Linked DNA regions of Rhinolophus ferrumequinum. The protein of the gene in region 1 purifies or fractionates together with the protein of each later gene. This does not show direct contact. Links are inferred from orthologs where the notes say so. Each region holds a gene or a part of one and is shown in the gene's direction. Other genes may lie near its edges.

The links.
Region 2: the proteins of SLAMF1 (region 1) and PTPN11 purify together in Homo sapiens (affinity purification with western blotting; 3 studies listed by BioGRID and IntAct, with this or other methods). This does not show direct contact. The link is inferred for Rhinolophus ferrumequinum from reciprocal best matches to the Homo sapiens genes SLAMF1 and PTPN11.

The regions. Positions count from the first base shown.
Region 1 is NC_046305.1:27,923,672-27,939,470, forward strand, and holds the start of SLAMF1 (signaling lymphocytic activation molecule), read left to right. Parts: upstream 1-10,241; 5' UTR 10,242-10,284; intron 10,285-15,799.
Region 2 is NC_046308.1:7,481,661-7,497,407, forward strand, and holds the start of PTPN11 (tyrosine-protein phosphatase non-receptor type 11), read left to right. Parts: upstream 1-7,853; 5' UTR 7,854-8,062; coding exon 8,063-8,076; intron 8,077-15,747. UniProt on the Homo sapiens protein: Acts downstream of various receptor and cytoplasmic protein tyrosine kinases to participate in the signal transduction from the cell surface to the nucleus. Positively regulates MAPK signal transduction pathway. Dephosphorylates GAB1, ARHGAP35 and EGFR.

The DNA.
Region 1 (15,799 bases):
TAGCAGAATGAAAGAGCATTAACGGGAAAAGAAGAAAGAAATGTCAACTGTATATCTCAAGTCAGAGTATTCCTCAGTTGCTGGGGAAAAGGCACACCTCTCCAGGCATCATGTTTCTATTGGTTCGTTACCTGGAAACTGAGGCAATCCCACCTTAGACAGCGTAGGTCACAGACAGAAACTGTCCCCTGCCTCTCCCATCCCCCAAGGCAGTGCCAGATACATATAATTTGTGGGGCTCAGTGCAAAATGAAAATGTAAGACCCCTTGTTCAAAAAGCAGGGGGAAAAGCATCATTAAATGTACTAAAATAAAGGTTTTCCCTTTCTTCTACAGCCTCTCTCTACTTGGGATAGTACTTTTTAATTTGCTGTTTAATGTTGTTCTAAGAAAATTAAAATTCTAAATTATTATTATAAATTTTGCTGTTTATATTTTGCCATGTCAGTTTTGAGTGATACAAGAACATTTAATTTCTGTGTGGAATCACTGAAAATATTCAATTCATATTTTGTGGCTTATACATGCAGATGTATTTTGTTCTTACCAGCACAATGAGAATACTGCAAAACACTAACTTAACTGCTTTTATTTTACTTCTTGATGCACACACATTCCACCAACACTCTATGGAAGACAGTGGCTTCCATAACTCCTTGTTTAATTGCACAGGTCACATGCCCGTGAATCCGAATTTGCCTGAAGGACACCTGATACCCTAAGCCAAGACAGTGGCTTTTCTGGGAGTTCTAGTACAGAGACCAAGTCTGATTCTCATGTGTTCCCCAACCCCTCATATGTTTTCCTATACATCAGAACTTAGTGGAGTGATTCAGTGAACTCAAGCTGTTTGTCTTTGTGCAAAAAAGATATTCCAGCACTTTCCCAAAGTTTTCACGGTGAAATAAAGTCAGAGGACAAGTTGTTCCAGGTGGTCACTCAGCATGCTCTCGCAGCCCTGCAGCATTGCCCTCTGCTGGCTCCACATTTAAGTAAAATTTAACACCTTGGATTAGATCAGATCAGTGCTTCTGAAACTTGCACTATAACTACAGCAAATCACCTGGGGGTCTTATTAAAATGCAGACTCTAAGTCAGTAGGTCTGGGGTGAGGACCAAGAGTCTGCATTTCTAATGAGTTACCAGGAGACTCAGATGCTGCTGTCCACGCACCATTGAGCAGAAAGGCACAAGATCTCTCCAGGCTTTCTGCTGTTCTAGGCCTGTCTATGGGAATTGGTTTTCTCTTCCACTTCCTACCCTGCTCTGGCTACCATACTCCATCCCTTCTCGAGTTAAAAATTTTAATCATCCTTCCCAGGTTCCCATGGTCCTCAAGTGCATTGGCTATGCTGCCAGGGACCAGCTTGTCACAACAGGCAACACTAGGTGGCACATGGAGTATTTGCAAGGCCAGGAGCTCCTGTGAACTGAGAGAATGCAGCCTTCACATCTGGCAGTGCACAAAGGAACAGCTTGGATTGGGCCCTGGTGATGGGACCAAGTAGGGTTACACATAAATTAGACCTGGACCCTCAGATCAATAAGTTCATTCATTCCTCACCCATATTTACTGAGTGCCTTCCCATACCAGGAGCTGAGGCCCTGTGCTGGGAGCTGCTTAATGAGAGCTAACTTTGAGCCCATCTAGATGCCTGGCTCTCTGCTGCGCTCTTTACCCAAACACTCCCCTTTAAGGAATGGGACTGGGTATTGGGAGAGGTCTTTCCAAAATTCTTCATTGGGGATTTCAATTTTAAGTGGTTTCCTTGACCATATTTATTCTATAAAACTCTTGCTGAGACCAAGGCAGTCTTAGAAAAGTCCCATCTTTTATCCTCATTTCTTGTCCAGGAATAACAGAATCCACCACTTCCAGTGCCTTTGAGCTATGTTAAAGTGCATTTGTTAAAGTGGCAGCCCCTGCACCTGGAGAGGTGTGCTGTCCCCTCCCGCCACCCCCTCCTCTCTCCCTCACCATCTCCTCAGAAGACTGCATGGTGGAGGAGGGGACAGATTTAGCCCAGAGCAACCTGCACCAGCTGGAAAGTGGTAACCACAGGCCTTTGCTCTCTTTCACTAGCTGCTTTGTGCAGCCCCCTGTGCTCCAGCTGGGCAAGCTATAGCCCAGTCCCTTTGCCCAGTCCCCTTCTCTTGACCTCAGCTTCTTAGTCGTTCTTCCTCTCTCCTCCACCATCTTCCTCTTTCCACATTTCTATCACTTTCATTTTCTGTTTCCATCATCTTCCTGTCTCTTATTTTTTCTTTCTTCTATTCCACCTCTTCCAGCTGATACATTTCTTTCGTAACTCCTGTTTTTTACTGAGCCCTCACCATGCTTGGTTCTGCCTCTGATGTTCCATCTGCCTACAAGGGTTTGATAACCCCTGATAGTTAGTGCCTTGGTTGGTTTCTTTCCCTCCTTAGTGAAATAGAAAATACAATCCTCTCAATAAATTCTTCCCAGCCCAGTAACCTCTGTGTCCGGGAGCCCTGCTTGGACAGAGGCTCCTATGGAGCAGACAGCACAACAAACACATTGGTTCATTGTCTCATCACATAGATATCTGTAAAGGGATTCTTGATGGGACTTTCCCCACTGCCTCAAATTTAGAGCTAGGAAAAAGAGACTTCACATTCTCAAAAGAGCTACAAATAAGTCAGGGATAGCACTACCTCTAGGCTTAGTAAGGGGTACCCAAACTGATTTTGCTACTCCAGCGATAACCCCAGCACTCTTCACCCCCATTCTATATAAATAGAACACTAGGGAGAGAGGAGAAAATCATCAGAATCAAAATTGTTAGAGTTGGGAGAGACCTGTGGCTTTTCCTTCTCTTCCTCATGAATGAGATCCCCTTTCCATAGTGCTAGATGAAAGGGGTTCCAAAAGCACCACTTGAGAGATTCAAGGAATACAAAAGAAGTGAAGACTAATGTCTTTCTCCCTGGTTGGGCAGTGGATCTTTTGATCTTCCCAAAGGTAGAAACATGGTATTGGAGTGAGAGTACAGCCTGCACACCCATTGTTTGATATGGCAAGGATATAGGAGTTTCCACAGAGGACACTGCAGATGGTAGCCAGGCTTCAGTTGTCTTACCACCTGGCCACCAGATAAGCAGATCCCAGCCGCAAGAGGTTGGATGGTACATCATCAGCGGAAGCTGAGTGGGAGGAGGGTCAGGAGAAGCCAAGCCAGAGAACATTTCCGACATTGACACTCTTTAGTGGAGATCTCCCCAACCCCACCAACCTTACTGTGGTCCCCAAAACACTCAAACCTATGCTCCATGAAAGAGCCAGTATTCAGAGAAGGCATCAACAGTGGATCAGTATTAGGGGAACAGAGAAAATCAACAGCATCCAGGTAACAGAAATAGTTTGGCCCTCTCCTCCCGGCCCTAAACCACTTGAGAAGCTGGAACTAGATGAGATAAAATAGGCGAAAGATTAAACCATACCTCCCTCCCTATTATAGATTTTTGGACCATGAGACAAGCTTGAGCTTGTTAAGAGGTTAAAGGGGAATTTTACATTGAACTGTACTGTAAAATTACTAGAAGTGATAAAAATGAAACTGAGGGATTTTCCCAAAACATCCTTAAGTGATGGAAGGCAGATTTGATATAGTGCTGATGTGAGTAGGAAAGAAAGAGCATTCTTTTATGTTAGCTCCCAACTAACCAACTTCATACTATTAAAAAAAAAAAACAAACCTGTTTATATGTATTAAGCAGCTATTATTAGTTAAACACCATTCTAGATTCAGCACTGAGAAAGACACATACAGTTCTTGCCTTCGTGCAGATTATGATCTAGTCTGCAAGAGAGCCATAAGGAAATTTAGTAATTTAATTTCAATTATGACAATGCTACAGGTGTCAACTATGACAACTGCTCCCTTAAAGAGCTAGTGAGGACTGAGTGAATGTAAATCAGGAAGATTGGATCTGGGTTTGAGGGTCAGAGAGAACTTCCCTTTGGAATCAGAGACTGAAAATGAATAGGTATTAAATAAATCAGGGGAGTGTGTGTGGTGGAGCCTTCAAGAAAGAGGAAAAGAGGAGGTAGAGGGTGACCTTTCACTGTATATTTGATCCATGTGAATTATGACTTATACAAAAAGTAGATAAAAATGAAAACAAAAAAATTGTATTCAAAAAGAAAGGAAGAGGAAAAGGATGAAGCAGGGGTGCTCTGGAAGAAAAAAACAACCTGGTTGCTAGAGAGGTGTGAATAAAAAAGTATCTAAAGGAAGTGATTGCCACATTTCTAGATGGCAGATAGAGAGCCACCTTGGGTGGTGGCTCTTTAAAAATAAACCAGTTCTCAAAGAATAAAATGTTACTTATAATAATTCTTGAATTTCACAAGAGTCAGGGTCAGATCAATGAGAAAAATCTCTTTTCCCTAATATGACTGAAGCCTGCTTATTTCTTAGGAAAACTAGTGAGAAATTCAGCAGCAAAATTTCACTAGTAGGGAAACTCAGTTAGAATGGAGTGGACCCATTTTCTCTTTCACACTTGAGACTAGAGTTTAGCTTTTCCCACTCCAAAATCAACTTTGAGCAAAGGAGAATTTCAATCAGCATTAGACCAGAGCCAGAACATTTGTGTTTGCAAAAGATGAGAAAGGATTGAAAGGATAGAAACTGCCTTCCTGTATCAGCTGATTTATGCAAACTACCCAAACAAAAAATGTGGGGGAGAATTTCACTGAAGGGTTTGGGAGTAACTTGAAGAATCAAGAGAAAAGCTGAACATTGGCACTGAGGTAGCAAGATTTAATAGGCAAATTGTGAGTGTTCCCGGTAAAGATGAATCAGCTCCAGTTGTTTTCCAGACTCTTGGCAATCTGTTTCATATGCAAATTCCTATAACCACTTTTCCTCCTAAAGTCCCCTGGGCTTTTGAGATCTTCTGTACAATTCAGTAAAGAACTTTATACACATTCATGGCAGGGTTGGGTGTTCTTTTTCTGAGAAAAACTGGAAAGTCAGGAGTTTTTCTGTTAAGGGCAAGTAACCCCTCTCTAATCCTTTGTGAGGGCTCTGGAGAGGTGAGGCTGGAGGAGAATCAGCCCAACCTCTTAAGAATTTCTAAGTAGAGTCAAAGATAGGTGCTGGTAGCATTGAACAGATCCCTAGGTCAGCACCTCCCACCTCCTCCTGACTTGCATGAGCACCAAAGACACAAAACAGGATTCAGGAAACCCTAATTCAGGAAAAGGAGGAAAAGCTTGCCACTCCTGAGATTGGGACTAAGAGAAGACCAGTGTGTCTGGGAAAACTAGAGAAAACATGGCAAGATATGAGACTGGTGGGGTTTGGGGGCCATGTCATGCAGGGTCCTGGGAATTTCATCCTAAGGACACTGACAAGCCATTGATGGGCCTTCAGCAGGGAAGGTGCCTGGCTAGGTTTGTGTTGGGAAAGATTGCTCTTACTGATGTATGGAAACTTCCAAAGAAGTTACAGGTGTTGATAGGAGTGGTTCTATGTGAACTTTCTGCAGGATAAGGAGGCGAGGTAGCAAATTGTGAAATTTGAAATGTCTTCTTGAAAAATTCCAGATTTTAATTTGGTTATATTTCATTAATTTTTTTCTAAATTTGAAATAATTAGTATAATGCAATATCAAGCAAGGCTTTAGATGTGGGCCCATGGGCCTGAGAAATGATCCTGATAAATGTACATACTTATACAAATTTTATTATGTGTTTCTATATGATAGTAAGATAAATATAATTTATTTATTAAATAATTATATATGTCTATATAAATGAGAGAGAATAATGGTTCAAAGTGATCTGGCTAAAATGGAAAAATCTAGGGAAGAATTTGAAACAAAATCTTAAAAGCCAGTATTATCTCACGGCCACCTTTATCATTATCTTTCTTTATTGGAATACTACAATATTTATTGGAATATCTTTCTTTATTGGAATGTACTGAAAAGTGCATGGTAAATTTCTACAAAGTAAACACACCTTTGTAATTAGCATCCAGATCAAGAAACGTATGATTAATTTTTAATAAATGCAAGGGATGAGGTCTACTGTAACACTGTTCTCAGAGAAAACAAGATGAGCACATACATTGGTAGGTGTCCTTCTCATTCTCCTTGACTGCCAAGCACATGTGCACACAAGCACACACACACATTCACCTACATACATTATTCCCATCTATCTGATTATAAAGATGAACTCTCTTACATGATCAAACCATTCTCTGGGTGGCAGAGACTTCTAATTGCTTATGAAATAAATATTTATCTTCTCTTTTTCTCAAATTAACAAATCCTGATATTTAGTTGGACATTTTGCCATCCATCTAGTCTGCATTTTCCAACTCCTTTACATGTTGCTAATTTTAAGCCATTGCTAATAAGCAGAAATTGTGTGGGATTTCTGGGAATAGATGGGAAGTTATTTTCCATTTCTTCCTTTATCCTGCTGCCTGGGACAAAAATGGATGGACGGAGCTTCAGTAGCGATTTGGATATGAGGACAAAGGCCACAAATTAAGGATAATAGAATTACCATTTCCTAGAGGTATCCCAGAATTCCTAGAGATATCTGAGGAATCACCATACCAAACTGAACTGCCTACCTCTTATCTTTTTTCAGTTGAGACAATAATAAACATGTATCTTGCTTAAGGCAATTTTTTTCCCAAGGTCTCTAAAACTTATCTATTTCTAATTCTGATTTACTGCATGTAGCCTCAAATAGATTTACCTACTCCCCAGTAGGAACCATCTAAAAGTTATAGCCAACTCTTGCACATAGAAGTCATGCCATGGATACACCTCACTTCAGTGTCTAAATGATGGCTATTCTTCTTTTAGTTCCCTATGTTATGGACCAACCTCACTTGAGGACAGAAATTCTAAATAAAATATTACCAAACTGAATTCATTAACATAATAAGATTATCATAGGGTTTATCCCAGGAATGCACAGATAGTTTAGGTTTTAAAAATCTATTTATGTAACTAATTACATTGGCTAATTAAAGGGGGGAAGCATACAATCACTTCAATAAGTAAGAAAAATGTAGAAAAATTATGACAATTATTTTAATCAACCTAATAGGTGAGAATTCCCTTAACTCAACAAAGAGAATTTTACACACACACAGTAAATGGTAGCAAAAATGGCAAAATAAGGACCTCTCATCTATAAAAGCAATGAGAAAACTAAAAAACAAACAAACAAACAAATGAAAACAAAAAAAGCAGAATCAGCTTTTCCAGAATTCTAGAAATTAACCAAAGGCTTACAGCAATTCAGGGAGTGTTTATTTAAGAAAAATGTCTGAATCCCAGTAAGAACAGTGAGCTTTGTGGCATTTTATCTTGCCCTAGTCCCATCCCACGTTCTCTAGCCTCTCTCTTGCATTTAAAACCCACAGCCTACAATCATGGTGAAAACCAACAGCCTGGCAGACACTGGAGGGGTAAGAAGGGGTTGAGGCTCCTTTAAAACCTCATTCCCAGAGAACTGTGTATGTAGTGGTTACGTGAAGGACCCCACTTGCAAGCCTTTCTTTATTGGATGAGTGGAAATCACACAGTGTGAAAGCCTTTTCCCTGAGGATATTTGTCAAAAACAACTAGAGGCAATTGATCAAATTTGCAGCTTTCTGAGGTTGGTAGATAACAGTTCTCTTCTTAGTTTTCTGTTGAATCAATCAAGAAGAGAAGAAAGTTTCCATGAATAACTACCTACAGCCTCTACTTATTACCGTGTTTCCCCGAAAATAAGACCTAGTTGGACCATCAGCTCTAATGCGTCTTTTGGAGCAAATATCAATATGAGACCCAGTCTTATATTATATAACACCTGGTCAGTCTTATATTATATAACACCTGGTCTTATATTATATAAGACCCGGTCTTATATTAAAATAAGACCGGGTCTTAAATTGATTTTTGCTCCAAAAGACACATTAGAGCTGATGGTCCAGCTAGGTCTTATTTTCGGGGAAACACGGTAATAAGTAGAGGCTATAGGTTGGCTGTGGCTCTGCAGGGTTCTGAACCACAAATATCTTTCCATTCCAGTTCCCAGGCAACCTTTCTCCGTTGTGCTATACTCCTGCAGAGGGCAGGAATACAGAGCAGAAGGATCTTTTTTCAAATACAGGTTTGTGACATTTCCATGCTTAGAATCTTCAAAGGTGGGCTCCTTAGATGGCCTGAGGGCTACTACTGATCCCTGTGTGACTCAGCTTCTGTGGATTTTTCCTGCCTAATTTCTAGGTTGGCCCCTCCCTTGAAGCAAATGCTGCAACCTTCCTGAACTACTTGCAGTTCCCCAAACTCACCCAGTGCTTTTGCTCAAGCTTTTGCACTTCCTGGAATCATCCCTCCTTCTCCTTGTCTGCCTAACAAACTCCTACTCATGTGTCAAGATTCAAACCAATTGTTGCTTCTCCAAAGCCCCGAAACCACTTCTTAGGGATGAGTCTTTCTCCCTCCCCCATATATAACCTCTTTCCATCCCCTATGTAATAGAGATGATTATTACAGAGAAAGTTTGGAAATCATCAGCAGGGAAGCCCACAAAAATTGGCATTTCCCCATATTTTTTTTTCTTTTTTTTTCTATTTTATTATTTTTTCTGGTACTTATTTTTTTCTTTCGCACATACCCCTCCATCATTTTGTCAGTTTTTCTTACAACTTCATATCCTATTATAGAATTAGCTGTATCAATATTAGTTTGGTGCAAAAGTAGTTGTGGTTTAAAAGGTTAAAAATAATTGCAAAAACCAATTACTTTTGCAAAAACCTAATAGCATTAAAACTTGATTTTCGGAGACCAAGCACTATTATTTGATCTGCACTCATAAGTGGTTTGCCTTCAGGCACTCTGGAACTCTATAAGGGTGGCAATAATGATGATACCCATATTTTTTTCAATCTTGGAAGACCAAGAAAGGAAAGTGACATGCCCAAGTACACGTAACAAATTCCCAGCAGACTTGAGGCTGGAAGTCAAAGATGCTTTCTCCTTCCTTTGGGACTTGCTGATAACCTCTCTGAGGCTTGACCATGTGGTCTCCTGGATTCTTGCAAACCCTAGACCACTGAATTTTGAATGGCCTGCTAAGATGACAACATCGAAGGGCTTGTTGGCACCCATATTAAGCACTGGAATGAGCATATTTGGTCTTCAAGCTTATACCTAACATCTGGAACCACAATGGAAACCTCTGGAAGGCTGCATGATATAAGGGAAAGAGAATAATCTTTGGAGCCAGACAGTCTTGAGCTTGAGTTTCAAACCCACCAATTACCAGTTTTAGAAAAGTAAACTGTCTAGTCTCAGTTTTCCATATGAAAGAAGTGGATGATCTTTTTTCTTTTCTGTTTCAGGTGCACAAAACAATGTAATAGTTAGACATCTACACCCCTCACAAAGTGATAGCCCCACTCCCCCAATCTACTACCCCTCTGACATCATATATAGTGCTTACGATTCCATTGACTCTATTCCCTATGCCATACTCCACATCCTGTGATATATATATATTCATTATTATTCGGCTTCATCTTCAGGTGTACATTGCAGTCGTCAGGCACCTACACCATCCATGAAGTGGTCTCTCTAATAAGACATGTGCCATCTGACACCCTACAAAATCTTTACATTATCGATTATATTCCCCAAACTGTTTTTCATATCCCCGTGGCCATCTTGAGGTTACCAATTGGTGCTTCCTAATCCCCTCAGCTTCTCCCTCATCCCCCCCACATCTAGCAACCCTCAGTTTTTTCTCTATATCTCTAAGACTGTTTCTGATTAGTTTGCTTATTTATTCTATTCTTTAGATTCCACATGTAAGTGAGATCATATGGTATTGGTCTTCTTTGTCTGACTTGTTTCACTTAGCGTAATGAAAAAGTGGATGATGTTTTCAATCAGGATTAAATAAAATAGCCTCAGTAAATCATCCAGCACAAGGTCTGGTATGCAGTAAATACTCAATAAGTATTAGTTGGCTTCTTCTGTCTTATACTGTCCCCCCTTTCTCCTAGGCTTAGGACTTTAATTTGACTGAATCAAGACAGTCAAATTAGGTTTAGAGACCTCTTAACCTAAGCTTCTCAAGAGTAAAATAAGAAGGAATTGATTATATGATCTCTGTGTCCTAAATAATACCTTCTTTCTATTCTTCTTGCTTTTATTAATCTTCCCATTCAGGTGTGTGGACTCAGCACAAAGACTGCCCTTGGATGAGATCTGCACAACAGACGTTTTGCTGTCAGAGTATGTAGAGAGGTATTGGGAAATACCTGAGTAAATGCAAATTTGGAGGCTAAACAGTACTTCTCTGGGTCTGATGATTTCCAAGATGCTGCGGAGATATAATTTCAGTGATGATGTAGAGAGGAGAGGACAGCCCTACCTCAAAGAATGGTTGTAATTTGTATGTTCATTCCACAAACATTTTTAACACCTACTGTATGTCAGGTATTGTTAGATTGGGGAAACATGAATATAAATAGAGCAAAATGAAAGTCAGTCAAGGGATAGGTATACTGACCTAAAACCCAAGAGACCTGGTTTCTGGTCATGGCTTCACAAAAACTGTTTCAGGTAGCCTCTGGCAATTCCCTCAGAGGTGTTAACCTCTAAGTCTCAGCTTTCTGAGGGTGAGATGAGGGAGTTAGAGAGGTGGCTTCTAAGATTTTTTTGTTTTTCATTTTCTCCAGATTATACCACTTGTCTGAAATTCAGCTCTATATAATCAAGTAGTACTTGGAAATCTCCATCTGGATGTACCATAAATATGCCAAATAAACATATTCCAAAACCAAAAACTAATCTCACACCCTTGCTCCCAATTTTGTTTCAAATTTCTCTACCTCCTATACTTCCTATCACAGAGAATGGCATTGCTATATGCCTGGAGGCTATACCATAAGTCCAAAGGCCTTTGTATATAGGCCTCTCTCCTTCATACCGCACATCCAATCAGTTGCAAAACGCTGCCAAATCCACATATGAAATAAGTCTTCAATGGATCTCTTTCTCTCCCACCTAATTACCACTTCCTCAGTGGAGACTATCATTTCTTCTAATCATCTCCCAGCCTCTAGTTTTACCTAAATCTCTCCCACAATGTGGCCAAAATAATCTTTTTTTGGGGAACAGTTTGTTTTTCCAGGACCTATCAGCTCCAAGTCAAGCCGTTGTTTTCAATCTAGGTGTGGAGGGCGCAGCTCACTGGCCCATGTGGGAAACAAACCAGCAACCTTGTGTTAAGAGCTCACACATCTAACCAACTGAGCCAACCGGCTGCCCATGGGCAGCTCAGCTCCAAGTCAAGCTATTGTTCTCATCCTGGTTGTAGAGGGTGCAGTTCACTGGCACAGGTGGGAATCGAATTTATGATGTTGGTGTTATGAGCACCGCGCTCTAACCAACTGAGCCAACGAGCTGCCCCCAAAATAATCTTTCTAAAGAAGAAATTTGATCAGGTCACTTACCTGCTTAAAACTTTTGGTGAATCCTATCAATAGAATGAACAACTATCCTAGGATATATTTAACTACTTGTATGTGAAAAGTTTTGATCAGGTGGGAGGAGGAACATTGCCTCCTGTCAGAGGCCTAGGTTTAGTAGGTCCGGTATTCTTAGGAATGAATGAAAGACAAAACAACAAGGAAGAGAAGGGAACTAGAAAATACTGACTGCCCAGGCTATATCATATACTGTACTTTATATACACTATGTTGCTTTAACCCTCAAAAAAATACATGAGATCTCTCAGGTCAGATTCCCCCCAAGATAGACTCTGAGATGAAGATGCATGTGCAGGAAGTTCACTGGGAAGTACTTGTAGAATCAATGCCTGTGGGAAGTAAAACATGTAGGATTGAGCAGAGGGAGAAGTTGTACCCAATACAGTTGCAACAAAGGCCTAGCTGACTCCACAAGGAGCTCTGGAACTGTGATACCCGTTAAGGGTTGCTCCTAGTTGAGGCAAAGTGACTGGACTTTTATATCCTTTCATTAACCAGCTTACCAGTCATTAGATGTGGGTGGCCCTCATGGAAGGAACTGTCTGAGGGCAGCTGCTGAAGAAGGACTCAGCTGAGAGTTGTTAGTCACCAAAGCATCCAGCAACTGGGGCGAGACCGCTATGCTGTTCTGAGATCTGAGCTGCATGTCATGCCATCCACTATACAAGTAACCTGTAATACACTATTTTATAGATAAGAAAACTACGTTTCACCAAAACTGAATTGTCCTACCTGATACAAGTACTGAGTGAAACCTCTGTGGTTCTAATTCATATTTTTCTGACTCCATGAGCCCTTGGCTACATATACTTCTGAAATTAGAAAAAAATTCATTAGCATAAAGTCAAACTTGAACCCTCAGGTGTTTGGATGGTAGTACAAGCTGTCACACACACATAAATCCTTAGAGGAAGAATTAGAGCTGAGCAGTAGTTTGGTCAAGTATTTAAGGTCCTACAAGAGATTTCTGAGAACAGACAGTGCAAGTATCAGGGCCTGTGGGGCTTCAATGTGAAATTCAGGACAAGGACAGCAAGACCACGCTTAGGGCAGGCTCAGGATGGGTCTTCGTAGAATACTGGCAGCTGCAAAAGCCAGCAAGGCAGCAATCACAGACCTGGCTGGGCCAGTGGCTAGAGTTGGCCCGGGAGTTAGAGATCTCAAAGGGCTGATGGAAATGAGACAGAGGGAAGGGCAGAAAGAGAGAGTCAAAGGTCAAAATGGAGGCAGCTCCTAAGAAGAAGCTAGACAAGAAAGCTGGACAAGAAATAGCAAAGTAAAGAGTCATAGATACTTAATCATGAATGGATTAGGTGGGGCGTGGAGCCCAGAAAGGATGTAATAGAATGAATGCGAAGCACCACAGCTGTTCTCTTCCCCTGGTCTCTACTTCTTGCCCCTGGATATGAGGGGCTCTGACAATGGCTTTGCTACATAGGCGCATGTATTCAAGGCCAGTGTAGCAGGACGTGGTAAAGTTTATATTCCAGTGTTGTCCCTGCTACTTATTTACTGTGTGACTTCAGGTAAATTATTTAACTCTCTAAACCTCAGTTTCCTCATCTGTGAATTGGGGATAATAATTGTAAGGTCTAGACCTGCTGCAGAGCTCATGGGAAAGATAAGCTGTTTCTGTTGTAGAAATCTCATATTCTTCCCCTCCATGACCTAACACACTTGTGTGAGCAAACCAAATTCAGAACCCAGGCTCTTAAAGTTAATTCTTGGATTTTAAAGAGCTAACTAAGCAGCATAGGAAGCAACATGATTATCTATCTTTCTCCTAGTCCTCCATCCCAGTATGGAAGTCTTCCCCAAGTGGAAGAGTGGACACTCTGCAGATGCAGGGGGAATATCTGCAGACGCCTGTTGGAGGGTCTAGCTGGAGCGAAAGCTGAGAAGGACAGATGAGTATCAGGGTGCCAGCTGAGCATGCAGGATTTCATATCCCAAACCTTGGCCCAAATGAGACCAAGGTTTAGCATTTTAATGGCCTTTATCCTGATTGAGTCATCAGAACTGGGAGCTGGGAGCCATCCCTCCTAAAAACAACAAAACAGAACTAGAGGCCTCTGCTTAACTGACTTATTTACTCTTAGAAAAATTTCTTAAGAAGGGACATGCTCTGTTATCTTACTTAACAAAGCAAAATTTAGAAACAGTAAATCTGAAGAAGGAAGCCTGTCTCTGGATATGGTCTATACCTCTTTTACCCCATAAAATGCCTTCTAAAACTTAACATTTTAAACTATCTCATGATCTGCACTTGCTCTGTTTTCAAGGCAAGATAATTAACACAATATTCTTTAAGAAATTTCTGCTCATAAAACTAGACAACAGCATATAATAATAAATTTTTATGTATTACGTTAAATTTTAAAAGTATGGAAGTGTATGCACACCAGTCATTATAGTTACAAATGTGCTTATGGAATGAGTAGCCTATTGAGGCAAGAACATACTTCTTTTAGGCCGCTGTGCAGTGAGGAGCGATGCTTCCACAGCCTCTCCCTGAGTACCAGTATCGTGACTATAATCATTATTGAAATTCACCCCACTACTCATGATGATACCCAGAGGCATTTTTTGACTTAAATTTTATAATACAGCAAAAGAAAAAACTGAGGTGACCAAATCCACCTTACAGAATGAAAACCTTATAGGTATTTTATACAGTCACAGTTAAAACAATCACTGTAACTGCTGTACTGTGTGATTTTCATATTGACTTCAAATCCCTTCACACGTGGATTTTGCGAAACTGAATCAAGTGTGGTTAAGGGTTCACTTCATATTTTCATTCTGTTTCACATTTTCTGTTCTGATTCATATTTTTTTACTGTTCCTGTTCTGTTTTATGTACTGATATTTTTTTCTTTTATGAAATGTGATAGTCTGCTGAGAATTTTTGATTCCTTTATTACAGGGCTTTTAAATATTCATTGCAGAAAATCCACACTCTGTCTTCAATTACTGAAAGTTCTTAATGGCCCATAATGTGCTTTGTCTTTAATTTATGCTACAAAGCTATTGTTGACTCTTAAGGGGAAGCCCAAGAATGATGTTCATATCAGGGGTCCCTGAAGCTTTCTGTTCCTGGTCTCCTAGGACAGTCCTCAATCTTGACTACTTCCTGTACATCACCAGATGCAGCTAAATGAGGTTCATCATTTAATCACTCATGCCTACCTTTAGGAAACCATGAAAATGGTAGACACCAAATGCAAAATGACTACCACATGACAGGCACTGCACTGAACACCTTGCTTGGATTAATGTCATTTAGTTCTCCCAACAACACTGTGAGATGGTTCCTCATCTTAACTGTTATTACTGAGGAAAGAAAGGCTTAGAGAGATTAAATAACTTGCCGAAGGTTGCAAGATTTCATGATTTATAAATAACAGACCTAGGCCTCTCTGACCATAGAGCCAGAGTTCTGAACCGGTCTACTCTAGTGCCTTAAAAAAAAGATTTAGAGGAGATTTGAGAACTTGAAAGCAGTTGTGACAAAAAAAAAAAAAAAGGAAAAGAAAACTACGGAATATTGTTTTGCTTTATTTTTTAAAAATTTCTTCAATGCTGTATTACATTTGCAATTTTGCAAAGAGGGGATGAAACCCTAATATTTAAAAATCCCACTTCCTAAATATCCTGCTCTTAACTAAAAATGATATCTGAGAAGTCATTCACACGGTTGATAATTACGTTAATGCTTGTATGATTACATCATTAAAGGATGTTTAGAGTCATATTTTAACCCAATGGAATGGTTTTCTCATGGTTAGTGCTGGGGAAAGCAAGTGAATAGAGAAGAGGAAGCTATTGGACTTTCTCCATGTGCTTCATTTGGGGCCTCCCTTCCCTCTCCCCCCCCCCCCCAATTTATTGCTTTCTCCAATGATCCAAGCTAGAATTTTTCACTGAAGCTTTCTAGTCTATAGCTTGGTTTACCAAACTACTCAAGTATCTTAGCTTTTTCCCTCTCCCCTAGATTCACTTCATGTCAGCCCACCTCATTGGTGTGATAGGGCAGGAATCCCTGTTCTGGGCTCCATACCTGGTTCATAAGCATCTCAGAGGATCATTGAATGACCTCATGGAGCATGCAGCTCCCACTTCCCCAGCTGTCTCTGTCTCTCAGGGAAGTGATGATTGGTTAGAAACTATTCAGAGAGAAAGGAATGAATCCTGCTCCTCATCTGCCTTTGTAGGAAAAGTGTTCAGAGGACTTGCCAAAGAGCCTTCTAGAACTG
Region 2 (15,747 bases), on another chromosome or scaffold:
AAACTCAGGCCAGACAGAAAAAAAGCCCAAAGCCCAAGAGGCGACTTCCGGTCGTGGACGTAGGGGAGTCCGGAAAACAGCAATTGGCCTCAGCCTCAAATCCCAACGTGGCTGAGACAAGCTCAGCGGCGTCTTCTGGAAGCGGGGCTAGATATTCCAGAGCGGGCATCGTCCCTGCGGTTCCACTGGCCTGTTACGGATCCCCGGAGGGGCCCCGTTTCTCCAGCCCAGGAGGGTAGCGACCAGCCGGAACCCCGAAGCCTCTTGGGCATTCCATGTCACCCACTTCGTGCCCCACAGCAAACCCAAGCGACAGAAATGAAGCGTCTGGGAAGCCTCTCAGTTGGCCGCGAGCATGTCCGACCCTTACAGGTGTCGACTTGATACCCTCCAGGTTCGGATGGAGAAGGATTGGGGTTCTGAAACCAAGTCTTGCAGAGAAGCGCCACCATTCTTACCTTGCAAGTTGGGAAAGAGAACTAAGGCCCCGGCTTCCGGTCTATAAGCAATCATGGGAGGAGTCGAGTCTCACATCCTTCCGGATCTGAGGCATCATGGGAGATGTAGGTTTTTCTCTTTTGAAAGTACTGTATTTTGGAGAGCTATTTTTCCTTATAAAAAGCGAAAGGGAAGAACATTTTGTCTGATAACGTTTCATTTTATAAACCAGTAAAATTTTCAAAGTTCTTTTGGGAACCAACATAAAGTTGCAACCTTTTATTTTGCTTACTAAGGACATTAGAAAACACTACTATTTTCAATCTAAGAAAATAGATGGATGAAGGATCTAATCCCCAATAAATTGAAATCTTTCCTATGAAAGGCTAGTTGGGAAACTTACACGGACATTTTCTCCACAGTTGCCTTAATGCCTATATTCCCTAATCAGACCATAGACCATGCTCAATGGTGGAGTGTCAGAAAAGCTAGAGTTTAAAATGAATAAAATATACTCCTCAAAGAACACACATTCAAGGGAAAAACAAACAGAAAAATGAAAAATTGTAAGTTATTTCTTCTGGGAGATTTGGGATCGTTTTGAGGTGCGTTTTGTGTAGGATTTGGAAGGATAATTACAAATCTGACAGATGAAAGTGTCAGATGCAAGAGGCACGGAGGCATGTAAGAGCATGCTTGCCCAGCACATCTCCAAGCATTTCTGGCCACTTTGTAGTCTGTTTCTTTATTTCTAAAATGAGGGTAACAATAATCCCTACCTCACAGGGTTTTAGGGAAGATTAAGTGAGTTAATATAAAGATAATCATCAAGAACAATATCTGATGCGTGGTAAGTGCCAGATAAATGTTAGTTCTTGTTATCACCACCACCACCACCACCATCAACATCATAGTTGTTAATGAGATCTTGCTATGTGCCAAGTATTCTGCTAAAGTTTATGCACCAGGGATAATAAGAGAAATATTGTATGTTATGCACCTAGAACTGTGCTGTGTGCCTTGCTTTATCTCATTCAATCCTTTCAACAACTTGTGAAGGCTACTATTGTGAGGAATCTGGGCCTGAAAGAGGTTAAGTTGTTCACAACATGGATCTGATTTCAAAGCGTGTACTCTTAACCATCAGTCTGTAAAGACTGAAGAGATGACTAATGAAGATGAATAAGAGAGATCTTTGCTCATGTTAGAATTAAAAATAAGAACAATAATTTTAAAAAATAAACACGGGGAGGGAGGTTGTCATTGTGTGAGGGATATAAATGATAAATGTCTATTACATTGTTTTGTGCACCGGAAACTACTAAAAAAAAAGTTAAATAAATAAAATAAAATAAAAAATAAAAAATAAAATAAAAAAATAAACAACATAGTATATCTTATACATTTTTACTGCATCAAAGTCTTTAAGGAAATAGGTACACTTTGTGATAGGTTTTGGCTTGAATTTTCCATTCTCTTCCACTTTCTTGTTGTGCTGGCTAGAGCTTGTCACCTCAATTTTCTTCAGGTTCAAACCACCTGCTTTGTGGCTATGTCCCTGGAAATCATGTAGCCCTTTTCTGGTTCTGGTTGACTGAGGATGCAAATACAGGGGTCAGATACCTCTGAAGGCCTCAGGAATTTCAGTGAAACCCTTCAGACTACAGTGAATGCAGAGTTGCCATGCCTGCTAAAACATGAGGCTTCTAAACTTGTCTGCCTTCCATACATATTAAAGATGAATGTGATTTGAAAAGACTGTATTTTATTCCAGTTCAAGATTATTCACTATCCGGGGCAGACCGATGGCTCAGCTGGTTAGAGCGCAAGCTCTCAACAACAAGGTTGCCGGTTCAATTCCCACATGGGATGGTGGGCTGCGTCCCCTACAACTAAAGCTTGAAAACTTGGAGCTGAGCTGTGCCCTCCACAACTAGACTGAAGGACAACGACTTGGAGCTGATGGGCCCTGGAGACACACCCTGTTTCCCAATATTCCCCAATAAAATAAAATAAAAACTTATTCACTGTCCAGACATGTAATATTCTCAAGGACGAGTTTGGGCACTGCTCTTTTTTGAGAATGGGAATGTCAGCAGCTTTATTTGTTTAGCTTTCTGAGCAAAGCACCTCTTGATATAGCTACTTCAGAAAATGTGTAAGAATGAATGAAGTGCAGAATTGCCTACTTGAACCCCTCAAAAATGCTGACAATCTCAGAGACTTTCACCTAGTAAATGCCACAAAGTATCTGTGAAATGACCTGTCATTGAAATAAAAACATCAATGTACTCCCTCTTGTGTTATGTTGTGGTATTGTCAAACTTACCATTCATTAATTGGGCAAAATATAATCAATATACTGTAGGTATTAGTTATAAAGTAAACAGTAGGTGCTTGGTTCTGCCATATATAAAATACTCTTAACTTTGTGCAGTTCTTTATTAATTATAAAGCAGACATTTTTGCAGACACTAAATCATTGTATTATAAATCTCAAAGCAACGTCCAGGTGAGGTATTAGTTTAAGGTGAAAACTGAGGCTCAATTACAATAAACGACTTATCTAGGGTCACACATGTGCTTACATTGACTCATGTCTCTTTGTGTCACAGAAAAACAGAAACCCAGTAGGCAGTTGTGCTGCAGAAAGGGTACTGTCCTTGTAACCGGGGATTCATTTGCTATATGATCTTATAAGTCTCTGCACATGAGTTTTCTTACTCATAAAACGGGGATGATATTGGCAATATTGATAATACTTTCTTAAATGTTAATGTTAAGGTCAACATGGTGATTCACTCACTCAATAATTTTCTCACGAAAAAGTTCATGGCAGCACTATAGTAGTACAAAACAAAACAAAGCCCTTGAAATAATTTGAATGTCCATCAACACAGGAATTGACTAAACAATGGACATCCATACTATGGAATATTATGCAGGTATGAAAATGAATGACTTTCATCCAAGGGTGCTGTATAGCACGGTAGCCAGTAGCCAAATGTAGCTACTGAGCACTGGAAAAGTAGCCAGTTCACATTGAGATGTGTCGTGAGTGTAAAACACACACTGGACTTTAAAAGCACAAGAAAAAAAAGAATATAAAATATCTCATTAATAATTGTTTATATTTACTGGTTATATGTTGAATGATAATATTTTGATATATTGGGTTAAATAAACATATTATTCAAATTAATTTCACCAGTTTCTTTTTACTTTTGAAATGTGAATATTAGAAACTTTAAAATTACACGTATATTTGCTCACATTATATTTGCATTGGACAATCAGTGCTGATTTAGCTGGATGTCCATTATATATTAAGAGAAAACATTATATCACAAAGATATATATTTGTATCTATTTCTCTATATATATTTTATCTATTTCTATATATATCTGTATGTACATACATACATATACACACATACACAAATGTATGTATATATAAATATATACATATTACAAACCTATAAATATATACACATATTATGAATTCATTAAAAAAATAGAAAAAAATCCCTACATATGTCATGTATGTGAGTGACTGTGTGTGGGATCTGTGTGTGTGTGTGTGTGTGTGTGTGTGTGTAGGTATGGAAAAAAGTGTGGTAGGATACACACCAAATCATTAACCGTGCGGGGGTTGCCATAGGGAGGCTGTAGCCACTAAGGAGCCGGGGAAATTACTGCTCTTATTTGGATTGTTGCAACACACTTGTATTGCTTTTGTAGCTAAGAAAGAAATAAAAATAAAACATCTGTAAATGAATTTCTTAAGCTTGTTATATGCCAGGTACTACTGTGTAGGCTTTGGGCATATGAAGATAATGACTGTTTTAAGAGGAGCTCATAAACTAGGGAAAGAGGAAAAAGACTCAATCAACAACGACCTTGAACTATGTTGGGGGCTGTGAGAGGATAAACAGGCAGCCCCAAGGCGTAGTGGGGAGGGGGTCTCTATTTTATTTTTAGGATGTGGTCAAGGGGTGTGGACAGCGAATGTTTTGTGGAGGAGCTGATTGAGTTGGAACTGAATCTTGCTTGACACTTAGTTTTCCAGATGAAGAAGAGTTTGAAGGGTATTCCAGACAGAAGAAACTAACTTCTGGAAGACAGAGATGCAAGAAAGAGCAAGAGGCCTTTGAAAACGGTCAGATTATGCGAAAGAGTGGGGGTAAATGAAACTGTGTGGGTATATTCCATATCTAGAAAGGTTTTTAGTCTAATGGGAGGATTTTAATTTAGTGCTAAAGACTTTGAACCTCCCTCATAGAAGCAAAGAATGACATGATTAGATTTGTATGCTAGAAAGATCCTTCTTGCTGCAGAGTGTACAAAATATAGGAAAGACTGGGGAAGCAATGGTTTCTGTGCTCAAAGAGCTTAGTTTACTTTGGAAGAGATATATGATAAACAGCATTTATCAAGTGCATACTTTGCCAGGCACTGTTCTGGGTACGGCAGATCCTAAAATAACGTCATTTCGTTCACTGTCCTTTCCTAACGTTCCTGAGAATAAAAAGTCCATTCCCAGTCACGGCCACTGTCTGTGTGTCGTTTTCACGTTCTCCCCATGTCTGCGTGGGTTTTCTAGAGGTAGTCTGGTTTCCTCCCACATCCCACAGATGTGCATATTAAGTGATCTGGCCTGTCTCCATTGGCCCATTCTGAGGGGTTGTAGGGGTGTGTGTGTGTGTGTGTGTGTGTGTGTGTGTGTGTGTGTGTGTGATGTGCCCTGCACCCTGTGATGGAAGGGCCTCCTGTCTAAGGTTGGTTCCCACTTTGCACACTGAGCTGCCAGGATAGGCTTCAGCTGTGCTCAGCCCTGACCTGGAATAAGTGGGTTACAAAATAATGACCACACTTGTTTTTATTAATCTTTTTTTAAATGTATGTATAGCTCACATTTATTTCAATGTTTAATATTAGAAGTATTTTGGGTCTTTATTTAGAAGTGTGGAGATGTTTTTGTGACCAGAAATATTCTCTCGGAACTTAACTCTTGTTTCTATCAATTAGCCTATGATAAAATTGGTTTTGTTATAGGTCATTTGTCTTCAAGTCGCAGTTTCCAAGAATGAATTGACGACATTAAGTGAGGACTTACTGTACTCCACAAACATTAACTTTTTTTTTTTTTTAAACATTAACTCTTTTATTCTTTGGAACCTATCCTATGGGGTGTGTGGTATTTAGAGTCTCTCCATTTTACAGAGAAGGAAACTGAGACAGAGTCAAGTAACCTAACATAGGACACCCAGGCAGACAGGCTGAGCTTTGAAGATCACGAATTTAATCCCCCGTATTATACTGTGTCTTCGAGTTATAATGGAGTACGTTTGGTTCTAAGATAGGAAAGGTGTCTTGGGGACCACATAACCTGGTCTGGGAGAATCACAGCGGGCTTCCTAACCCAGCGGAGATGACTTCGAGTCTGAGATTTGAGGCATAAACTAGAGTTCCTGGGGAAGCGGGGTCAGAAAGAACCCTCCAGGGAGAGGGAGCATCTCAGCTGGGAGGGGAAATGAAAGTCATTCAGCACGACCGGGACATGGGGAATGAGGTGAGTGGTGGGGACAGGTAGGGCTGGTGAAGTGAGCAGGGATTGGATCAGGAGGGTGTTAAATTTTTTTTTGTTGTTCCCTTTTTGCTACATCCTAAAAGCAGTGAGAAGCCTTTGAAGTACTCCAAGTTAGGGAGTGACTAGATTTGCATTTTAGATTACTGTCGCTATTATGTGGAGAATGGATGGGACAGGGAAAGCCTGCAGGCCTGAGATCAATTAGGATGTTGTCTGAGTTGTCCAGGTGGCTAAGATTTAGGAAGAATATGGAAAGAAACAGGTTGAGCAACTTCTTGCTGAATGCTATTACCTAAATTAAATTTGCATATATTAAAGACAATTTTTTTTGTAAGGAGCTCATTAATGCTGAAGCAGTTAGCACACTGTGTGAAAGTTCTTTGTATAGGAGTGAAATGGGAATCATTGGGAGGATTTTGGAGCTATCTAATGTGGGTTGAATTCACTCACTAGATCTGTGGCCTTTAATGAGTCACGTGCATTCATTAGGTTAAAAACTCGACCTTCTTGTGGTCCGAATTACCATCACCTACAGCCTTGAATACCACAGTATTTTAGTATTCCGGTCTTTCCGTTACTGGCCTTGCCCTCTTGATCCAATTCTTCACAGGGTGCCCAAAGTAATACTTCAAAAACACATTATATTCCTCCTCTGCCGAAACATCTTTCAAGGGCTCTCCATTTCGCCGTTCATTTAAATAACCTATAGGATCCTCTACCATTTCTCTTTCTCATCTCCTGCTACTCTCCTTTCACCACCAACTCTCCCTCCGGCTGGAGACTTCTCTATTGTTTTTCTTTCTTTTTTTTTTTTTTTAAATTTATTTTTAATTTATTGAGGTGACAATTGTTAGTATAATTACATAGATTTCAGGTGTGCAATTCTGTATCACATCATCCATAAGTCACACTGTGTGTTCACCACCCAGAGTCAGCTCCCCTTCCATCACCATACATTTGATCCCCCTCACCCTCATCCCCCCCCTCTATTGTTTTTCAATAGGAGGCAGCCTCCTACCTTAGATGCTTGAAATGCTACTCCCCTCACTTATTTCCTCTGACGGCTTCAGCATCTGATCTTTACTGGAATCCTCAGTGAAGCCTTCCCTAAAACTCTGTTTCAAATGATACTAGAAAGGGCTATTTGGAAAAGACAAGAAGGAAGGATGGGAATATTACCATGAGTATTTTACTTATCTTGATTACCGTAGCTCCTCCCAGAACACAGGAATTTTTGTCTTTTCACTTCCCTGTTGTATCCCCCTAGTCTAAAACAGTGCCTAGCAGATAGAAAACCCTCAACATATGTTTACTGACATTGATAATACAGCTAACAATTACAAAACACTAAACAGGCCAGGCCTCGCTCTAAGCATTTTACATGTTCAATCCTCACAATAATCCCACGAAGAAAATACAATGACTATCTTTACCTTACAGATACGAAGGGATGGAGGAAACTGAGGCTCAGAGAAATTAAGCAACTTTCCCAAGGTTATACAGCTCGTTAAGGGGAGCGGCGATCTGAGGAATGAAATGAATGAAATGCGATTTGGCAGTCAGCGCAGGAATGAAAATTGACACCGTGGGAACGGAAACTATCGGTTTGGGGCCGCGCGGACAACACTGAGCGCGCAGCTCACGCCCCGCAGCCGAGGTCTAAAGGAGGACGTGAAGGTACTTTGGGAACTGCGAGGCGGCGGCTCCAACGAGCCACCACCGACCTGCCATTACCAGCCGCGGCTGGGTGTCCCGCCGCCTGGAAGCAGGAAGTGGCAGGGGGCGTCGCGCGGGGTGACGTCACTATGGCGCCGGCGGCGAAGGGCGGGGGCGAAGGAGGAGCGAACCGGGCTTGGGGGGCGGCTGCACAGTCTCCGGGATCCCCAGGCCTGGAGGGGGGTCTGCGCGCGGCCGGCTGGCTCTGCCCCGCGTCCGGTCCCGAGCGGGCCTCCCTCGGGCCATCCCGATGTGACCAGGCCCAGCGGAGCCTGAGCGAGGAGCGGGTCCGTCGCGGAGCCGGAGGGCGGGAGGAACATGACATCGCGGAGGTGAGGAGCCCGGAGGGGCCCGGCGCGGGCCTCGGCCCGGCCCCCGTCGTGTTCGGTCAGCCTCGCCCGGGAGGGGGCGCGTCGGGCGGACTTCGGTCGTCCGCCTGGGGTCGGGGGACAGGCTCCCCCCCAAACTCCTCGCCTTCCCGGGGCCGGGGTCCGGTCCCACCTCGCTCCCACCCCTCGGGTCTCCATTCATTTCCTGCCTCCCGGAGTTCCGGCTCCCGCAGCCTAGGGGATGCCCGTCGGGACGGGGGCAGGTAGAGCGCCGCGGGAACCGCGGACGCCAGCGGCCCGGCTCGGCGCCGCATTCCTGACCCATTGCCTCATGAGAATTGCCTCATGGTGATTCCGAAATAACCCGGCTCACTTGGGGAGGCTCCTTGGGCCCGCGACGCGGGAGGGAAGAGGAGGGATTTGCTCCGGGCCGGGTCCCCGACGGTGGAGCTGCTCGAGGTCACTCTGCCTGTCGCGCGCATTTGGGGGCTTCACTCGGGACCCCTGACCCCTTTGTAGGCGTCTTTGCATCTCCTTTTCCCCCCACCCCACCCTTCACGTGCCAGAAATGGAAAAACTGACTGTATCTGCAGCTATTAGAAGTATTTCCTTCCTCTGCAATATTCGCTTTGAGAGATGGGAGGGAAGGGAGTTGTATCTCTTCTAGTTATTTAATCCTTCACCGCAACCCTAAAAGTCAGGTAACATTAATGACCTTCTTTTTACGGATGTGGAAACTGAGGCTCCGAAGTAACAAGCTAGTAAATGACAGGATTTGTACCCGAGAGTCAGAAGGAAGATTAGTGAATTAATGAGGTCCTTTGAAAGTTCAGGGTAATAATACTAATAGCTAACATTTATTAAGCTGTTACTGTAAGCCAAACATTTAATCTTCACTATAACCCTACGAGGTAGGTACTATTATCCCCTTTCTAAAGATGGATAAACTGAGTTTCAGAAGTTAGACAACTTGCTTAAGGTCACTCAACCAACAAATGGTAGAGCCAGAATCTCCACTATTAATCACTATGTTGCTATTATTTTATAACTGTTGCTAATCATTTTTAGGTCTTAATTTTGTTATTAAGCAGTAGGGTGATCTATTGTTTTCAGATGGTGATCTGCTTTTTTGTATAGTCACTCATTATATACCATTCACATATAAGACTCATTGTTTAGTCTTTTCTTTGGTTGCCCTGTTGTGGTCACTGTCTTAGACATTTGAAAAACTGTTTAGCCTTTTGGTGTTATTTGAGTGAGAGACTTCAAAAGACTAGAATGTCGTCTCAAAATACACCTGCACAATACTTATTCATAGATCTGGAAGGAAAAGAGTGAGAAAAAAAGAAAACTGGAAACTTTGGAAGTGAGTGACTTGGACAGGTCTGTTGGCAAGTGCTTACAGATCTGGGTAATACATAATTGCATTTCAACAGGGCAGTGTATAGCCTCAAATGTAATTCTTTAGGGAGCTTTTAAATAAAACAGTTGTCTATTCTTTAATCTGTCAAATAGTCATTGAGCCTTTTGTTCCTTGTGTCTGCTCTTCCAGACAAGTAAGGATCTGCTGCTTTTGGAGACAAAAGATGGGGCTGGGGCTGGGTAAGGGGTAGGGTAGTAATAGACCCTACATTGTCCAGCTTGTTAGTCTAGAAGCAGGGAAGTGTGGGGATAAGCAACCGGCAAGTGGTAAACATGACAGTTTGAAATGGAGTAATTCCTCCTCTCCTCCAGCCCTCCCTGTCTCACCTATTATAACAAAGAAATGTGTGCCACCAAAAAAGTCAAGTTATGAACATAACACACATAATTGGGAATTATTATTATTTTTCAGGTTGTAGGTCTGTTTTATTATTTTTAACCAGCTTTATTGAGGTATAAATGACATGCAATACATTACATATATTTAAGTGTACAATTTGATAAGTTTTGATGTATGTATATACCCGTGAAACCATCACCACAATCAAGATAAGAAACATGTCCAGCACTGCTTGAGATGGTTCCTCATGTCCTTTATAATCCCTTATTTTTCAGGCAACCACTGCTCTGCTCTGCTCTGTGTCCCTATACATTAGTTTGCATTTCCTAGAATTTTATATCAATGGAATTTTAAGGCTGGCATCTTATGCTCAGCATAATTATGTTGAGATTTATCCATGGTGTAGTATATGTCAAATAGTTCATTCCTCTTTATTGCTTAGTAATACTCCATTGCATGGATGTACTGCCAATTGTTTATCCATCCACCTGTTGATGGACATTTGCATTGTTTCCAGAGTTTCGCTATCACAAGTAAAGCTGCTCTGAATGTTCAGGTACAAGTGTTTGTATAGATATACGCTTTCTTTTCTTTTCTGTAAACCTATCAGTGGTATGGCTGGATCATATAGTAGATGTATTTTTAACTTTTTCCCAAATTGCAACACTGTTTTACATAGTGGTTACACCATGTGCATTCCCACCGCTCATGGTGTGGTCAATTTTTAAATTTTAGCCATTGTAGTGGGTGTGTCATGGTATCTCATTTTCATTGTAGTTTTAATATGTATTTTTCCTGGGGACTAATCATGTAGACCATCTTTTCATGTGCTTATTTACCGTCTGTATATCTTCTTTGGTGACATATCTAGTATTTGATACAATATTTTCCCTCTTTTTTATTTAGTTGTTTGTTTTATTATTGAAATTTGAGAGTTCTTAATTCTGGATACTAGTCCTTTATCGGAATTGCAAATATTTTCTTTTAGTCTGTGGCTTGTCTTTTCTTTCTTTTTTCTTTTTTTTAACTAAAAGTTCAAAGTTTTAATCTGAATTTTTCTGTCTTTTCATTTTTTTAAGTGTCTTTTGAAGAACAGAGATTTTTAATTTGGACGAAGTCCAGTTTACCAGTTTTTTTTAATGGATAATGCTTTTACTGTCATTCCTAAGAAATCTTTGCTTAACCCAAGGTCTCAAATGTTTTCTCCAAGTTTTATAGTTTTAGGTTTCTGATCCACTTTGAGTTAATTTTTGTGTATGGTATGAGGTGTAGATACATATTCTCTTTTTGACATATGGATGCCCAATTGTTTCAGCAAGATTTGTTGAAAAGACCATTCTTCTTTATTGAATTTGCACCTTTGTTGAAAATCAGTTGTCCGTTTATATGTGGGTCCATTTCTGGACTCTATTCTGTTCCACTGATCCGTCTGAGAAAAGGATACTTTTCTCAGTACCACATGGTCTTGATTCTTGTAGCTTTATAACAAGTCTTGAAATCAGATAGTGTTAGTCTTCCACCTTTGTTCTTCTTTTTCAAATTATTTTTAACCTCAGTATTCATTCATTCAACCAGTAGTTATCGAACCAGGCAGGCTAAAAAGCAGTAAGATGGGCAAAGATTGCTGTTCTTATGGCTGAGAGAGTAGACAAACACATGAATAAATAAGACAATTTTAGGTAATAAGTTATAACTGCTGGGAGGGAAAAAAACCGAATGGGGAGAATGTGGTTAGTTTTTTTTTTGTTTTTGTTTTTTAAGATTTTATTGGGGAAGGGGAACAGGACTTTATTGGGGATCAGTGTGTACTTCCAGGCCTTTTTTTTTTTTCCAAGTCAAGTTGTTGTCCTTTCAGTCTTAGTTGTGGAGGGCGCAGCTCAGCTCCAGGTCCAGTTGCCGTTTTCTAGTTGCAGGGGGCACAGCCCACCATCCCTTGCGGGAATTGAGGAATCGAACTGGCAGCCTTGTGGTTAAGAGCCCACTGGCCCATGTGGGAATCGAACCGGCAGCCTCCGGAGTTAGGAGCATGGAGCTCCAAGAACGTGGTTAGTTTTGATAAGGGATTTGGGAAAAGTCTCTCTGAAGAGGTGATCATATGAGCCAACTCCTGAATGACAAGTACTATTCTGAGTTTTGTTTTGCTTCATTATCAAAATAATTATTTTTGGTTCATGTGTTAGGGTTTAGATTTTGTATGCATTCGGTAATTAAAATGTCAGTGTATTCAGTGTACTCATACTTCTCTACATCATAGGTAGGGAAAGGAAGGCATTTAATTAAATGACACTTCTCCAGGTAATTTAGCGGTGGGAGTACTGAATTTAGATTTTGAGATTGCTTGTCTGCCTTCCTCTGCCTTATTCAGCTGGCGAAACTGGCTGTATTTTCCGTCTTCCTTCAGCCAATGGCACATCCTTCACATTTGCTTTTGTTCCTCTGAAAGATACTGTACGATGACTTGAGCTGAGGACAGGCAATGTAGCTTATTCTGAGACTCTTGGCTTTTGGTTTATCTATTACAGGTCAAGTACATTTTGTCCCAGGCTCTCCCTGGTGGTCATGTTTGTTTATCTCCTGTGGGAGTAAATAAACTTGCCTTGCTGAAAAATGACAGTTCTATGTCTTTCCAGTTGAAACTGGATGTCTTTATTAATGTCATGTCCCAATGTGAGCTTGGGTTTTTGGCCAGAGCTGCTCAAGTGCAGGGGCCACGGCTAAGGTTACTTATCCTTCTCGCATATGGTCAATGTGGAGACTGTTAGTGAGTCGCATCAAGATCCTGGAAAAACAGAGCCAACTCATGTTTGTATTTGTTACTCTACAGAACAATAGAGGACACTGTGCTTATTCCTCTTTCCCTTGGGGAGCACAGACAGCGCTTGCCATTCAATGCTGACCTTTTTAAGGAAAGGAAAGGCAAATAAGGAAAGGAAAGGCTGATAGGAAAAAAAATGGATTTGTTTGCAGGATCGTGTTGGAGGAGAACTCTAGGGATACTCTGGGCCGCCAGAAAGACGGACAAGTGGGTCCCAGAGCAAATTAAGCCTGAAACATCCCTGGAGGCAAACATGACAAAACTGAAGCCATCCTACTTCCGGTACCTCGTGAGAAAGCAGGGCTTTTGGGAAAAGACAATAATGCTGGGAAAAATAGAAGGCAGCAGGAAAGGAGGAGGACCAAGTGTGAGATGGATGGACTCCCTAAAAGAAGCCGTAGGCACGTGCCTACAGGAGCCGAGCAGGGCTGCTGAGGACAGGGCATTGTGGACATCAGTCATTTCACAGGGTCGCCAGGAGTTGGCGTCCACTCAACAACACGTAATACATAAAGGCGAATACTGATGTTTGACAGGTTCTGTGGGAGTTATAGACTGCCACCAAGGGTTTGAGACCCCTGAAATGGATTCAAACACCCCAAAATGCTGCCCAGTTCATTACTGAGTGTTGGAAGCTTGTGTGCATTCAGTAGACTGGTATGTTCAATGGTCCTTGGCAACACTGAAATATGAAAGAAGCAGTTTGTGTTTGCAAAGAGCGTTGAATTTAGAGAGGCAGACAGACTTGTACGCCAGCCTCAAATGAGTTTGGTGAAGGTAGTACCAAACTGAAATGGAAATCTGTCACTATAAAATGTACTGTTTAAAGTATATATATATATGCTCGTACCTGATACACACATATGTACACATTTATATCCATCTATACACACATGCGATGCGTTTATTTACAAGATAATGGACTATAGATCCACGTCTTCATCATCCCATTGCCACTCTCGTAATGAAACAGGGATCCATTCAAGAACTGTTTGTCGTGGGATTGCCAGGTACCAGGCAACCTGCTAAGGCATTGGGGTGTTCCCGGTTTGAGGAAGCAGCAGGTGTGAAAGGGCTGCTTTGGGGGAAGTTTCTGGACTGCTCGAAGAACGGAAGGGAGCATGAGGAGGCGCTCTGGGCCTGGGGGCATTGGGGGGACGAGAATCCCCAGGGACTTGGAAGGCCCTCAGGGCCATGGAGAGGAGTTGGGGTTGTATTTTAAGAGCAACGCCAAACCATAGAAGGATGTGATCAGGGCAGTGGCATGAGCTGATCTGTTTAAAAATATCCCTCTGGCTCCTGTGAAGGAAGGACAGTCGGAGTCAGGAGTGGAGTCAGGGAGAGCAAACAAGCGAGAGAACGCTTTGAACTAGGGTAGAAGCCATTCATGGAAAGACTTTTGGAGGCAGTTTCCCTCTATTGCTGTGTCATCGGGGCTCAGATGCTGACCAATGAAACTCCACGAGAAGGTAGTGATTTATAAAGACATAGGGATCCACTACCATGAAAAAGCTGCCAGAACGTCTCTCTAGCCTCTGTTACTTAGAATGCTTGTCCCTATCGACTGCCTCCTCTCCATGTCTTATCCTTTTCCTATAGAATATTAAAATTTAATTAGAAAATGGAAAATTCTTATAATCTGCAGAAAGTACCAAACCATAAACTTTTTCCCCAAGGACAAAGATAATGATTTTTCTGGAGCAGAGGGATATACCCAGTATCACTTTACATTTAGGCAATAAACTGAAATTAGACTTTGGATCCCCAGTTTAAACTCCCTTTTTAGCATAGCAGTCTTGAGAATAAGTTCCTAAAATTGTTGGCCGGCTTGACTTTCCCCACATCGCTGGGGGAAAGGAAAGGGGTGCATAGATAAAACGAAATATTCAGCATCAGTGTATTCTCTTTTTGGTTCATCAGCACTTTTTTTTAAGACTCACTTGACATAAGTCAGTTCCCAGCCTCAGAGAGCTAAGCCTTTGCAGAATTTGCGTTCACCAGTGAGAGAATTCGATTTCTGGTGTGATTTCCCGGCAAATAGTTTGGCTTGCAGGCAGGGATTCTGTCTTTCGTTTCTTCCAGCCCCCTCAGCACAGGGCTCATGTGTTTGGGACATTTATTTTGTTTTTGACATTGATTTGAGGCTCTTCTTCACAAGTGTTTGCTGTTGTTGTTTGTGGTGGTGATGGTGGTGTGTGTGTGTGTGTGTGTGTGTGTGTGTGCGCGCGCACATTTTCAACTTTTTCTATGAAATGAGTGATACCCACCCGGGCCATGTTATGACCTGACAACCTTAGTAAATAATAGACAATGCCCAGAGGACGACTGATTAGAAGAGACTGTCAGGGGCCGGCCGGTTTGCAGATACTAAGAATGAGCAAGAGGAGGACACTTTTCTTCCCCTTTCCCCGCCATGTGACTGTTTCTCCACGTCCCTCCTTTCCCCCTCCTTTCCGTATTTTATCCTGTCTGGTTTTTCTTCACCTCCCTCAAATTCATTCATTCAACAGCCATTCATCAAATGCCTACTGTATCCATGGGGCCCACTATATGAATCGCCTTGCTGATAAATTCAGGTGGAATCATGCTAATTTGCCTTTCCCCCTCCTTTGAGGTAATATAGGCGCATTTACATAACTTTTTTTGTGAAGTAGCCTCCACTGTTTGCATTCTTACTGGGGGCGGGGTGGGGCGTAGAGATGTATGGCCTTAGTACTCAATGTTACAAGTTTATAATCCTTGAGGCCAGCCCTATGACATAATATTAATTCTACTAATTCCATTGTTCTGACCCTCACTAAGATCTCGGGTTGAATGAGCTCTAACTGTTCCTGTTAATGACAAGCATACTGTAAATCACAAAATTGTCGGTGATTGGACACAAATATTAAACATATAATTGGGAAAGAGTTTTTGGTAATTACAAATGCTTTTTGAAGAAAATAGCTAAGGAATGAGAGTTTACAGTATATCAAAGTTCAAGTACCTGGGTTCTGGAGAAAAACATTTAATTTCTAATTATGTGCTCTTTGAAATAATGTAGGGACAGCCCCAGAGATGTGAAGTTAAGTTTATGATAAGGCCGTGTAACACAAAT